Arabidopsis thaliana: one gene and its partners. The protein of the gene in region 3 interacts with the protein of the main gene of each other region in a pairwise test. Each region holds a gene or a part of one and is shown on either strand. Other genes may lie near its edges.

Region 1 (3,648 bases), on a different chromosome or scaffold from region 3:
TGTGACTACTTTTTTTACCTAAAACGTTTTATCGGACAAAAGTTCTAGTTACAGATGCATCTCATTGCAAAAAAAAAGTTCAAGTTTCTGCATATTTAAATCTTTTTTATTCAATTATTCTTAGATAATTCCCTTAGAAAGTCACAAGAAAATCCATAGCTACTTTAAATCATGAATTAAAAATATATGTAAAATAGCACAAAAATTCTAGAAGTTGCCACCTAATCCGAAAGAAGTCAAGATTTTCATTACACTACCTGACCATCTTTTTCAGTTGTGGTCTATTTGAAACAAAATTAAAACACTTTAACTTATACTCCATTATTATAGTTAGCCATTTAGGTGGCTCCTAATTAATGATTAACAAAAATAAATTATACTACTATATAGAGTCGCTCCTCAATACTCATGGACTCATATATTACAGAACAATAAAAAGAACTGTCTTTGTATATTGTTATGAGCAATTGATTATGACCATCTTACACTATTTGTAGGCTTTGTGCAAAAAAATTATTATGTTAACTTAAAACATGTTTGAATACTCTAATAGCACATGCTTAAAGACAATCCTCATTACGATAAATAAGAAAAATGAGAGTTTTCTTACTAGTTGAATAGTAAGAGACAAAGACTTTTACACTAACTTGAAATTGATAAAGTCAAGTATCACAAAAATACATACAAACTGTTTTCGATGTTTCTCAATAGAATCAAATATTTAAGCAAACAAAAAACATATTAGGGTTAAAATTAATCAACCACTTCAAACTTAAGGTCCCTAATACAAATCCTAATCTTTCACCAAGTCCCACTATTTTCAGAAGACCCCAAAAGCTCCTCAAGGTACTGTTCTCCCAAATCCTCAAAGACAACTACATTATCTAACTTCACGGAGCGGTGATCAAAGTCACTATCTTTCGTCTTCTTATTGGTCATTCTCCGTCTCATCGAGTGTTTCCTCTTCAACGCCACAACCGGAGAACAACCATCCTCGTAGGTATATTTAATCTCCGAAAGCGACTCTTGAACTCTCTCCGCCGAAAAATTGAGAATCGCCGAGGACCCTCTCATCGAGAAAGCAGCTTGATCGTAGGCTAAAGCCGCCTCTTCCGCGCTTTCGAACGTCCCGAGCCAAACCCTAATACCGTTTCTAGTCGAATCTCTTATCTCCGCCGCGAATTTCCCCCATGGCCGTCGTCTTACGCCTCTGTAAGACTTCTCTGACTTTCTTGAGCTTACGGATTTGATCGGAAGGTCTTGACTATCCGAGTCAATATAGGTTTGTTGCGTGGACTGCTCGATTAGACCGTAGAGAAACATTTCCTCTGAGTCGTTCTCGTTGAAGGGAAGAGAGTAATTGTTAGAAGAAGAGGATGAGAAAGAATCTGGAGAAGATCCGATAGAATATTCCGGTGAGAAGCCGGAGAATGGGGACTGAATTAAAAATGGATCCATGTAGAAAAAATACTCTGTTTCTTGACTACTCTGTTTTCGGTTAGGGATCGTTAGTGGATTGACATGGTCTATATATATAGAGAAAAAAATGAGTATGTATATGCAAATGTCCAAATTAGACTTGAGTTTTTACTGTCTCAGTGAAAGACAAATGTCATGTAATAAAAGGGTGAAATGGGAATTTACGAAAAATAATGTTACACTCAAATGAAAAACTATGTTGCTTCGTCGAAGATTCGAGCAAAGACGTTTTGCATATTTCTTCTCTTCGTGTGATATTTAATGTTTTCGTAATATATGAATTGTTTTGTACCGTTTAAACTAATCTTCTTACTGTCGTGAATCGTAATTACGTGAGACTAATATGAAACTGTATATTATGTAATTATCCCAGAATTGGTATGTATATTTAGGTATATATTCTTCAAATGTAGAATGAGCAGTGTAGGTTAGGTATATCATTTCGTATTATCATCACATGATTCATCGAAATTTTGTCACTTTTGCATCATATCACATTTCTTAGTTTAAATATAATTTATTTTTCTTTTTATGACGGTAAGGTTTATGAATCATGTACGACCTAAAAAAGATTAACCACATATGAAAACAACTAAAATGTTATATTTTGTAGTATATATCAGGATTACTTTGGTGTACCCAAGATATTATATTTTATAAGTGAAAGATTTATGATGATGTAAAAAGTTTTAGAAAATACTGATTTGATGCTATTTGATAAGTTTTATCAACCTACATGCCACATTCAGATCAAATTGAATCTAGAAGAAAATAAGATGGCGATTTTAGTAGAAAACTAAAAATCAGTTGACTAAAATTTTTATAGATAATTTTGATATGCAAATAAAATTCCCATCTTATAATTTCTAAGTGGACTCCACTTATTTGATCTAAAACAACTTATGAATAAAACAAATAACTGCGAAAGTTCACATTTCACGAACAGAAATAACAAGATCGATGTGAAAATGATTAAGCCATATTCCAAAATAACTGCTGGATCAACTCAACAAAACATTTTCATGCTTAGGTATTGCAAATATGATTACATAAAATATCAAATCATTATCCTATAATCTTAGGAAGCTATTATTAATTATTATTAAAGAAAATCTTTTGGCCAAAAGCATGGTTAAAGAAAATTGTTGGTTGGAAGGATTCAAGATACATGCCCCCTTGAATCCCAAACAACAAATAATTTCGAGCCATCTCATGTTTAGAAGATAATTTGGCTTTATCTGCTTTCAACTTCTTTCTCAAACAAAAAAGATACTTCATGTGCCATTTTTTCATTTTTTCTAGTTTCCTTTGTTTTTTTCTTCACTATTTCTAGTTATCTTATAGTAGAAATATATTTCAAATTTGGTGCAAATTATAACCAAATTATAACTCTTAAATTATATGAGTTACCTAATATTTTCTTAAACATTATCCCAATTACATTATTTTAAGTCATCTAATTAGTTGATCAAATTTATAGTATTATCGGAAAACAACATATAAATGTTCAGAAAACTGATGACCCCTCTAAAATCCTGGCTAGTTTGATCATAAACTATCTTTCAACCATCCTTAGATATTTTTTTTCTTTTCCAAATGTTGAATCGATTATCCAAATCTAGCAAATTTAATAATTCTTCAAAAAAAAGAATTTCCTAGTTTTTCTCACATCTTTTCTGTTTTAGTTATTTACATTTACTTTTATTTTGTCAATAGTCATTTAAAACAATGTAACAAAAGTAGGAGGTGTTGAAAATAATTATTCGAACGGATACGCAACTAAATTCTATTAGAACACTACACATCATCACATGCATCCTGAGTCCAGTAGGACACAAAATTATTTATTCTTTCTTAAGCCCATCCAAAACTATGCATAACTGATTATTTGATATCCCGCACGTGTTCAAAGTTTTTGGCTCTATTTTAAACTTCAAACCTGGACATTGTATCTCTTTTGGCTTTACTTTAAACTTCATTTTTTTGTGGTAAAATACTTTAAACTTCTTACACGTACCGAAAATGAATAAATTAATTGATTTCAATATTGACATCAGAAAAGTAACCCAAGAATAATTGCTTTTGATATCAGTTGCTAAATGATTTCCATAAATTGACACAAAAAATAATAATATAATTATTCGAATAATTACTAATACTTCATATAAA
Region 2 (3,760 bases), on a different chromosome or scaffold from region 3:
TATTATCCTTCACCACATTGGCTGGGATCAACTACACACAAAACAAAATCACCGCAACATGTTAAAGCCATACTGAAAGTAAAACAGAGATAGTAACTGAATCTGAAGTCTTATATTCGTCACTTTTACCAGTTCATAAATCCTGTTCTTGAGCGTAGTCGGAAAGTGTGGATTAGTTAAAGCTTCCACGTCCAAGTTCCCTTCAAAAACTGAAACAAAACAATCTTTAGTATATTAGATTGTGTTTTTGGATTAACAATGTTTATGTACTTTTGAAAAAAGACTATCAAACCTGCAGCATCGGTTGCAGTCTCTTCGTCAATCGGATAAAGACTCTGGCTGATTTCTTCATCTTCATCAAAGCTACCATCATCATCTTCATCTTCATCTTCATCTTCATCATCATCATCTTCAACAACATCAGTTGAGTCTTTTTCGTCTTCCACAACAGAATCAGAATCAGAATCAGAAAGTGGTATGGCTTGTATTTCAGCTCTGACCTCTTTGCTACCCCAACGATCAAAGACACTCACTTCAAAGGTACGATGACCATCATACACAAATGTCATGAACTCTCCGTTCTTCAGCTCATGTTCCTCTGCGAATTTTGGCCATCCTCTAGTAAGATACGCAGCTCCGCTTATTTTCTTCAAGCTCACAGTCCAAAGTTTTCCTCCAAGACCTTGGAGCTTCACTGTCTTTGGCAATGGATCAGCAAGAAATGCCATAAAAGGCAACGGAATCATCTGATGAACCAAACACAAATGTCAAACATCAGATTACTTGTTACAACTTAAAACAAAACTCAACTCAACTCCACAAGTAAAATGTCATCAAAGTCATAGAGTCTCTCTGTTTCAAGCTAAGCAGTCACAGTTTTGACCTATGCTTTATTGAACGAGATACAAAGACACAGATCCAGAGTTTTTCATCACTTCCAATTTCACAGCTCGTTTTCTCATTTCCGTTTAGAAGCAGAAGAAAGATTGAAAACCCGTAAACCCAACCCCAACTGCTAAACTAGCTAAAGATTATATCTTTCTCATAAAGCCATAACTTTCATACTAATACTTGAGATTCAAAGTCTGAAACTTTTCCTACTACAGAAACAAGGAAGAAGAAAGAAAGAGAGAGAGAGGTTCTTACCAACGATTCAGAAGCCGATTCAACGAGGAACACTTTGAAGAAACGAGGATACAATTCGCTATCGTCAGCCATGGAATGATGTTGGAAACGAGAGAGAGAGAGAGAATCGAAATGGGTTTCTTAGCTAGTGAGAGGAAGATAACGTTGAAGGTTCAGAGTTTAAAGGAGAAAGAGAGAGAGAAATGAGTCAAAGAAGACCTCTGCTGCGTTCTTGTACAAAACAGAGTACTGTACTATCTCAAAGCTTTATGATTTTTGCAGTTTAACCCATAAATTCTAGTAAAAAAGAAAAGAGAAGCTGATTTCTAATTGGTGCTTGACTTCTGAAACTTGTTTTCGATCGGTACTTACGAATCAGAGACTATTTCCATCTCTTTCCTCTGTTTTTTGTTTTTTCATTTCTTTTTTTTCTTCCTCATTTTCATCTTCGTTTAACAAAAATAACTCTTATCGTTGTTAAATTGACAAAAAACAATAAACCAAAATGTTATTCAAGACCTCTTTAAGTTTTTAAAGTGAAGCTAATATTTTCAAACGTTTACAAATGCTTTTTAGATAAATAATTATTTATCTAACAAACACACAAATACTCTTGCATCTATACAAATGACACAGAAAATGCATGCATGTGAGGAATTCAATATTCTAATACAGTAAATAAGAGAAATAATTATCAAAAAGAAAAACGAAGTTTGCGTGTTCTTCTGTTTATAGATTTGAATGAAACATCATTCTCTGCAAGCCAGGGATTGGTTCTGTTTTCTATGGTGAGATTGTAGCCCACTCTATCCACTGTTGCGTTCATATATCTTTCACTTCATGTTCTTATTATATACTTCATTGGACTGTTTTGTTTTCAGATTTAAACCATTTACATTTCGATTAGAAAGAGTATCTTATAAACCAGATTAATTCGTAAAATTTCATAATACAAGAACTCGTTAGATTAAAGATTCTTTACGCACAAATTTATAATGTGCTTCCTTTTTCTGGAGGATGGGATACATAAGAATCTAACATGCAGAGAAATTCCTATTTGTAAAAAAGAAAGCTCCATTGCATGGAGAAAACTATTGATAACTTCAAGCATCTCATTCTCATCATCCCTCAAGTTGATCTTCTGCATCGATTTTGGAATACAATTTGTTCGGCAGTTTAGGAGACGAGACAGAGACAACCTTTGAACTTGCCTTACTTTTTGAATTCGTCGACTCTTGTATTGGAGACCTCGCAGGTTGAGTCTTTCCTCCAGACTTCTTACTGGCAGATGAAGATGATCCATGTCTTGCCTGTTTAACAAAGAGAGAAAGAAATAGAGACATCATTTACTTGATCAGATTCCAGACAGAAACAGATCTTGTGCCAGTTGGTTCCAATCTCAAGGAACAACAATTGCATATTTGGTCTCTAGTTTGTTCATGAATTTTGGGGACTTACTCCATCAAAGAAGCCGATTTTTGGTGATGGCACACGGAGACCTGATGGTTTTGCGGAAGCTGAAGGAACCAAACCACCGTTGATAGCTGAAACTCGTTTTGTGCCTTCCTTAGCATCAGCTTGGACAACAGATGTATCTTTGGAGTTCTTGAGAGGTTTCACAGTTTGTACTGTATTATCATTTGCAGGAACCTTTTCACGAGAGACTGTTTTCTGGTTACCATTAGCCATTTTACTAGTTTCAGAAGCTCGTGATGACTCTGATGAATAGTCACTGATCGAACCAGCAGTTGGTACACTGGAGGAAAGCTTGGGCTTGGATGTCTTATTGGTTTGTTGGGGTGGGATTCTTGGCTGGCCCATAATACCTCTAGATGTAGATCGATTTGCCAATGGCTGGGAAGATAATCTGGAACTTGAATCATTCTTCTTCTTTATCGAATCTATAGAAGGTTTGTGAGAAGCGCTAGATGAAGCACTGGCACAGCTCTCTAGTGAAGAACATGAAGAGGTCATTTCATTCTTTGAGGCATCTGAAGAACGTGAAGAAGACTTAAAAGGCACACCAGGTTTTGGTAAGACGGGTTTAGCACGTCGCGACATGGATATTCTTGGACCCAGAGGCTCTTTACCTGTACTATTCAAGGTCATACAATATATTTCAATTTTAAAAAAACAAGTGTAAACTTCTTTAAGAACAAGTTCTGACTAACCCGCAGGTAATTTGGAATTCTTTTCTTGTTGCGTTTTGCTTATATCTAATGATGACCTGTTCGTCGATGTTGTTGACAAGGGCCTGACTTTGCTGAGTCCGTTGGGTGGCTTGGAAATGGATGTACTGAGACCTCTTGTAGCAACAGGCTGCAGAAAATATTTTATTTTTTTACAATATCCAATATATTCATTATGTGGTTCACTATAGGGTAAGCTATTAAAAGTGATGACACGCTTCTGATTCATAGATTCAACAGAGCCAATTCAATTTTATTAGTCCAGCTCATTACCAATGGAAACCTAGGAAAAAACCATTATTCTAGTTATGAAAGACTAAGAAACAAGCCCATTTAATAAATATGCACCTGAGAAACTGAATGAAGATACTATACCTGTTTGGTTGCCTTCCCTGGTCCTTGTACTCTACTCGGATTTCTGGGACTGCCTTTAGATTTAGTCTGGG
Region 3 (3,760 bases):
ATATATGTGTATGCATCTATCTATTAATGTATTCTACTATAACATATGGGCCATGTCTAGCAATTTAAAGAGTTCACGCATATGACATGAACATTTTTCTGGATTTAAGCGCAAACGCCGCCTGACATTTAGTCCATTCACAAGTATTTTTGATCTTATCGAATCAATTCCAAAATAAATAAATAAAACTAGTCAAAAAAGAAAAAATTCAAACTGTCTAGGGATTAATTTCAATTTTAAAGGCCTCACCACCTAGCTAGGGTTATATCTATGTATGTATGAATAGGATATATATAGAGTTATAGTAGAATTTATACCTTTTGGTACTTCTCGGTTTCATGGTGCGGAAGACGATACTCGTTCATGATCCAACTAGTACGAGTGCCTTTAGGGGCTTTACCAGAGTAGAAAACTAGGGTTTTCTTTAATCCGATAGGCCGAGAAGTCTCCGATCTGATCATCCTATCAGCTCCGGTGGCTTTCCAATATCCTGAAGTCGTTACTCGGTTCGGTCTATCTCCATTTCTATATTTCCGATCTCTTGGCACATAGAAGTACCACTCTTTCTCTCCTATCGCCGCCATAGCTGCATATACATATATCTATGATTAAACATACATAAGCTAATTATGAAAACATACACATATTTGTATATCTTATGATATATATGTAGGTTGTTTAATTAGGTTAATTTAAGAAAGAAACTAAAGAGGGAGAAGCGTTTAAAGATATTGAGAATTGTTAACGATCGACATAGTAATACTTCATAAGGAGGTAGGTACATATATAGGTTAAAAAAAAAGAAATAGAGAGAGAAAGTGATAAGAGAGAAGAAAGATCTTAACATATGAATAGAAATTAAGATTTCCAAATAGTTTGAGATGATTTATGTGTGTTTATGTGAATGTATATTTACCAGGAAGTTCCCAAGGATCATAGCGATAAAGATCGAGGAAAGTGATGAGTTCTACATTAAAGCGTTTGCCTTCAACTTTTCGGCGAAGGTAAAACTCTATGAGTTCTTCTTCGGTAGGATGGAATCTAAATCCGGGCATGACCATGTCATGATCATGATCATCAGCTTCATCTTCATTTTGGACATGACTCTCTTGGCCGCCTCTATGATCATTGTCTTCTATACCTTTTTCGTTATTGTTGACTTGGTTACTCATGGGAATGATGCTTGTTGTGGAGGATACAATTGCCATATATCAAAAAGACTAGATATGTGTATGCATGTGGATTAAGGTGATATATGATGATGAAAAGTGATTAAGGGTTTGCTTGGTTTTTATACTAACAATGGAAGGGAAAAAGAGAGATGAAATTGAGTGGTGTTGAGTAGAGATAAGAGGAGGAGAAGAAGAAGAGAGGACGACTATATAGGAATGAAACGTCATCGTTTTTGGGAGTTGAGACCAAACTAGAATAAGACAAAGAGAGAGAAGAAGAGAGTTAAGGAGGAGACAAAGACTTGTCAAATTGAGGACAGGGTGTCCACGGTTTTGTTTTCTTAGCCGTGCCTTTGGACCTTTCTCTCACTCTCCATTTCTAGCTTTTTGTTTCAAAATAAAATAAAATATCTATCTATTAGTTTTATGTATTTTTTCTAAATACTAAAGTTTCAAATATTTAATAATTATTGGGTTGTAACACAAATGAAAAGAACAGTTGATATCTTTTACAGGAAAAATTAAAGTTTATGTATTATAAACGAAAAAATATTTTGAAACAATATTACGAATTGACATCTTTCAAATGGATGTCATGGACCTCATGGTTACTAGTTCAATTATACTTGGAAAAAATAATAATTAATGTTTTAAATGCAATATCAACAATTGGTGTGGACATACGAAAAATATAGACCGAAAGTCTAAAATTCCCAAAAACTATCATTCTTAGAAAAAATATATCATGGTTTTCTTTATAGTTTTATTTGCACATGCACCATCTCATGCACGTTAAAGATTCATTAGTTTTAGTTAGGTATATGATTGGTATTTTATAAAGACAATCTAAACTTTAGAGAATAACAAATTAAGTTGATTTCATGTATAATTTATGTGTAAATAGTCTATATTTTGTTTTGGTTTTTGTTCCAATCCATCGCTACAAAAATTGCGAAAGTGTAACTAATCTAATTCTCCTGATCAAGGCATAGCGATAAAGGATCCATAATAATTCATTGTTATAGGTAGACTAATTGAATAACGGATATTCTTAAAACAATGTTAAAAATTTGGATTATTATAGTTAATTTATTCATCGTTGAGACAAAGAATTCTGATTGGTGGCCTATATTACTAATTAAATAATAATATCACGTATGCTTACTATGTCACTCGTCATAAATATATTTACGTGTTTTTCATATGCTTCAGCTTCACGAACGTTCTCTTATTGTTTCGCTATTTTTTTTATGATATATTTGGCCCACCATATCTTCATTGCATGATACTACTATGTCTTCAATTATGAATGCAAAACAAACTGACCATGATTTTGCCAACGCTCTCCATGTTCCTATGACTTAGTAAGAAGCTGAACTTACAGTACATATGTTAGAATTTAGAAACCCGCCAGTTCTTTAAAATTTGTATTAATATATATAGATACAATATATTATATTTAGATATATGTATCTATAATCTATATGTATAATTGTTCCATTTTATTAATAATTCAAAAAAGTAAATAAGATATAGACACAAAACAATAAACATCGTAACAACATTAGCATATATATATATATATATAGCTGAGCTAAAAAGGCTAGGCAAACTGTAATATATTTAAGTTCATCATGGAAAGATAGATAAAATATATACTAAGTACAAATTTCATACTTACAAGTTTATATGGAAAAATGAATTTAAAGTATCAACGTAAATGAGATAATGAATGAAATTAAAGTGAGGTGGTAGTGGGGCTTCTACGAAACGAGAGTGGGGTTTTTAGAAACCTTACTCTACGTTGTAATGACTTCATATTTTATATTTTTATTTTGTCAAATGTTTCAATGGATGTCATGGACTTCATATTTTTTAGAAATCCGTGAATGCATATATCTCATTCACAACAAATTTCATTGGATTGAGCTCAGTGTAGACAGACATTTTTCAATATGGATGTCGCGTACCAAAAAAGCTTATGAAACGTGGAAAAGATAAACTATTCAACAACCATTAATTAGACCATTGCGATATCAGAAAATGAACTTTTTTGTGTTGTTAATTCGAATCTTCGTCAAGAAAATTATCTAGTTACATGATTTTTTTTGTTTTTATGTTTAAACAATTTATAATATATTTACTACGAACTAATCAAATAGTAAATCAGTAGACATACACATATTTCAAAAATTATTATACCAGTTTAGTTTACATAAATGTATAGCTTTTGGATATATATTTAAGGTTTTCATTAAAATGAATGTAGGTATGAAAGGAAATATTATGTATGACATGGAATCATAGGCATGGACCCTTCGAATATTGATATCAGTAAAAATATAAAATGGCGATAGAAATTAGGAATTAAATGTATTATAAGAGAGTTTAAAAGTAGATTAAGCTAGTGCATAATTTAATGCAAGCGAGTCTTCCATCGGTTTGGCTTTTAGCTAGGGGTAGCAAGTAGGGTGGCGGATATTATATAATGTACATTCCAGAAGATTAAATCATTTTTTCAGTTTAAAGTTTTTGCAATTGTAAAAAATTAAGACCTTTTAATTTTAATTCGAAAAGAACATATATTT

The links.
Region 1: the proteins of LOV1 (region 3) and ERF1 interact in a two-hybrid assay, tested with the Arabidopsis thaliana proteins (one large-scale study listed by BioGRID).
Region 2: the proteins of LOV1 (region 3) and AT3G53310 interact in a two-hybrid assay, tested with the Arabidopsis thaliana proteins (one large-scale study listed by BioGRID).

The regions. Positions count from the first base shown.
Region 1 is NC_003074.8:8,293,515-8,297,162, reverse strand, and holds ERF1 (ethylene response factor 1), read right to left. Parts: upstream 1,547-3,648; 5' UTR 1,459-1,546; coding exon 802-1,458; 3' UTR 559-801; downstream 1-558.
Region 2 is NC_003074.8:19,767,151-19,770,910, forward strand, and holds the start of AT3G53310 (AP2/B3-like transcriptional factor family protein), read right to left. Parts: upstream 1,637-3,760; 5' UTR 1,219-1,636; coding exon 1,147-1,218; intron 747-1,146; coding exon 293-746; intron 210-292; coding exon 130-209; intron 32-129; coding exon 1-31. Other genes in the region: AT3G53320 (mediator of RNA polymerase II transcription subunit-like protein), read right to left, coding at 2,247-2,435, 2,584-3,215, 3,297-3,444, 3,690-3,755.
Region 3 is NC_003071.7:645,492-649,251, reverse strand, and holds the start of LOV1 (NAC domain containing protein 35), read right to left. Parts: upstream 1,715-3,760; 5' UTR 1,248-1,714; coding exon of another isoform or gene 1,209-1,247; coding exon 917-1,208; intron 775-916; exon of another isoform or gene 587-774; coding exon 318-586; intron 1-317. Other genes in the region: AT2G02455 (uncharacterized protein), read left to right, coding at 1,035-1,247. UniProt on the Arabidopsis thaliana protein: Transcription factor that acts as a floral repressor. Controls flowering time by negatively regulating CONSTANS (CO) expression in a GIGANTEA (GI)-independent manner.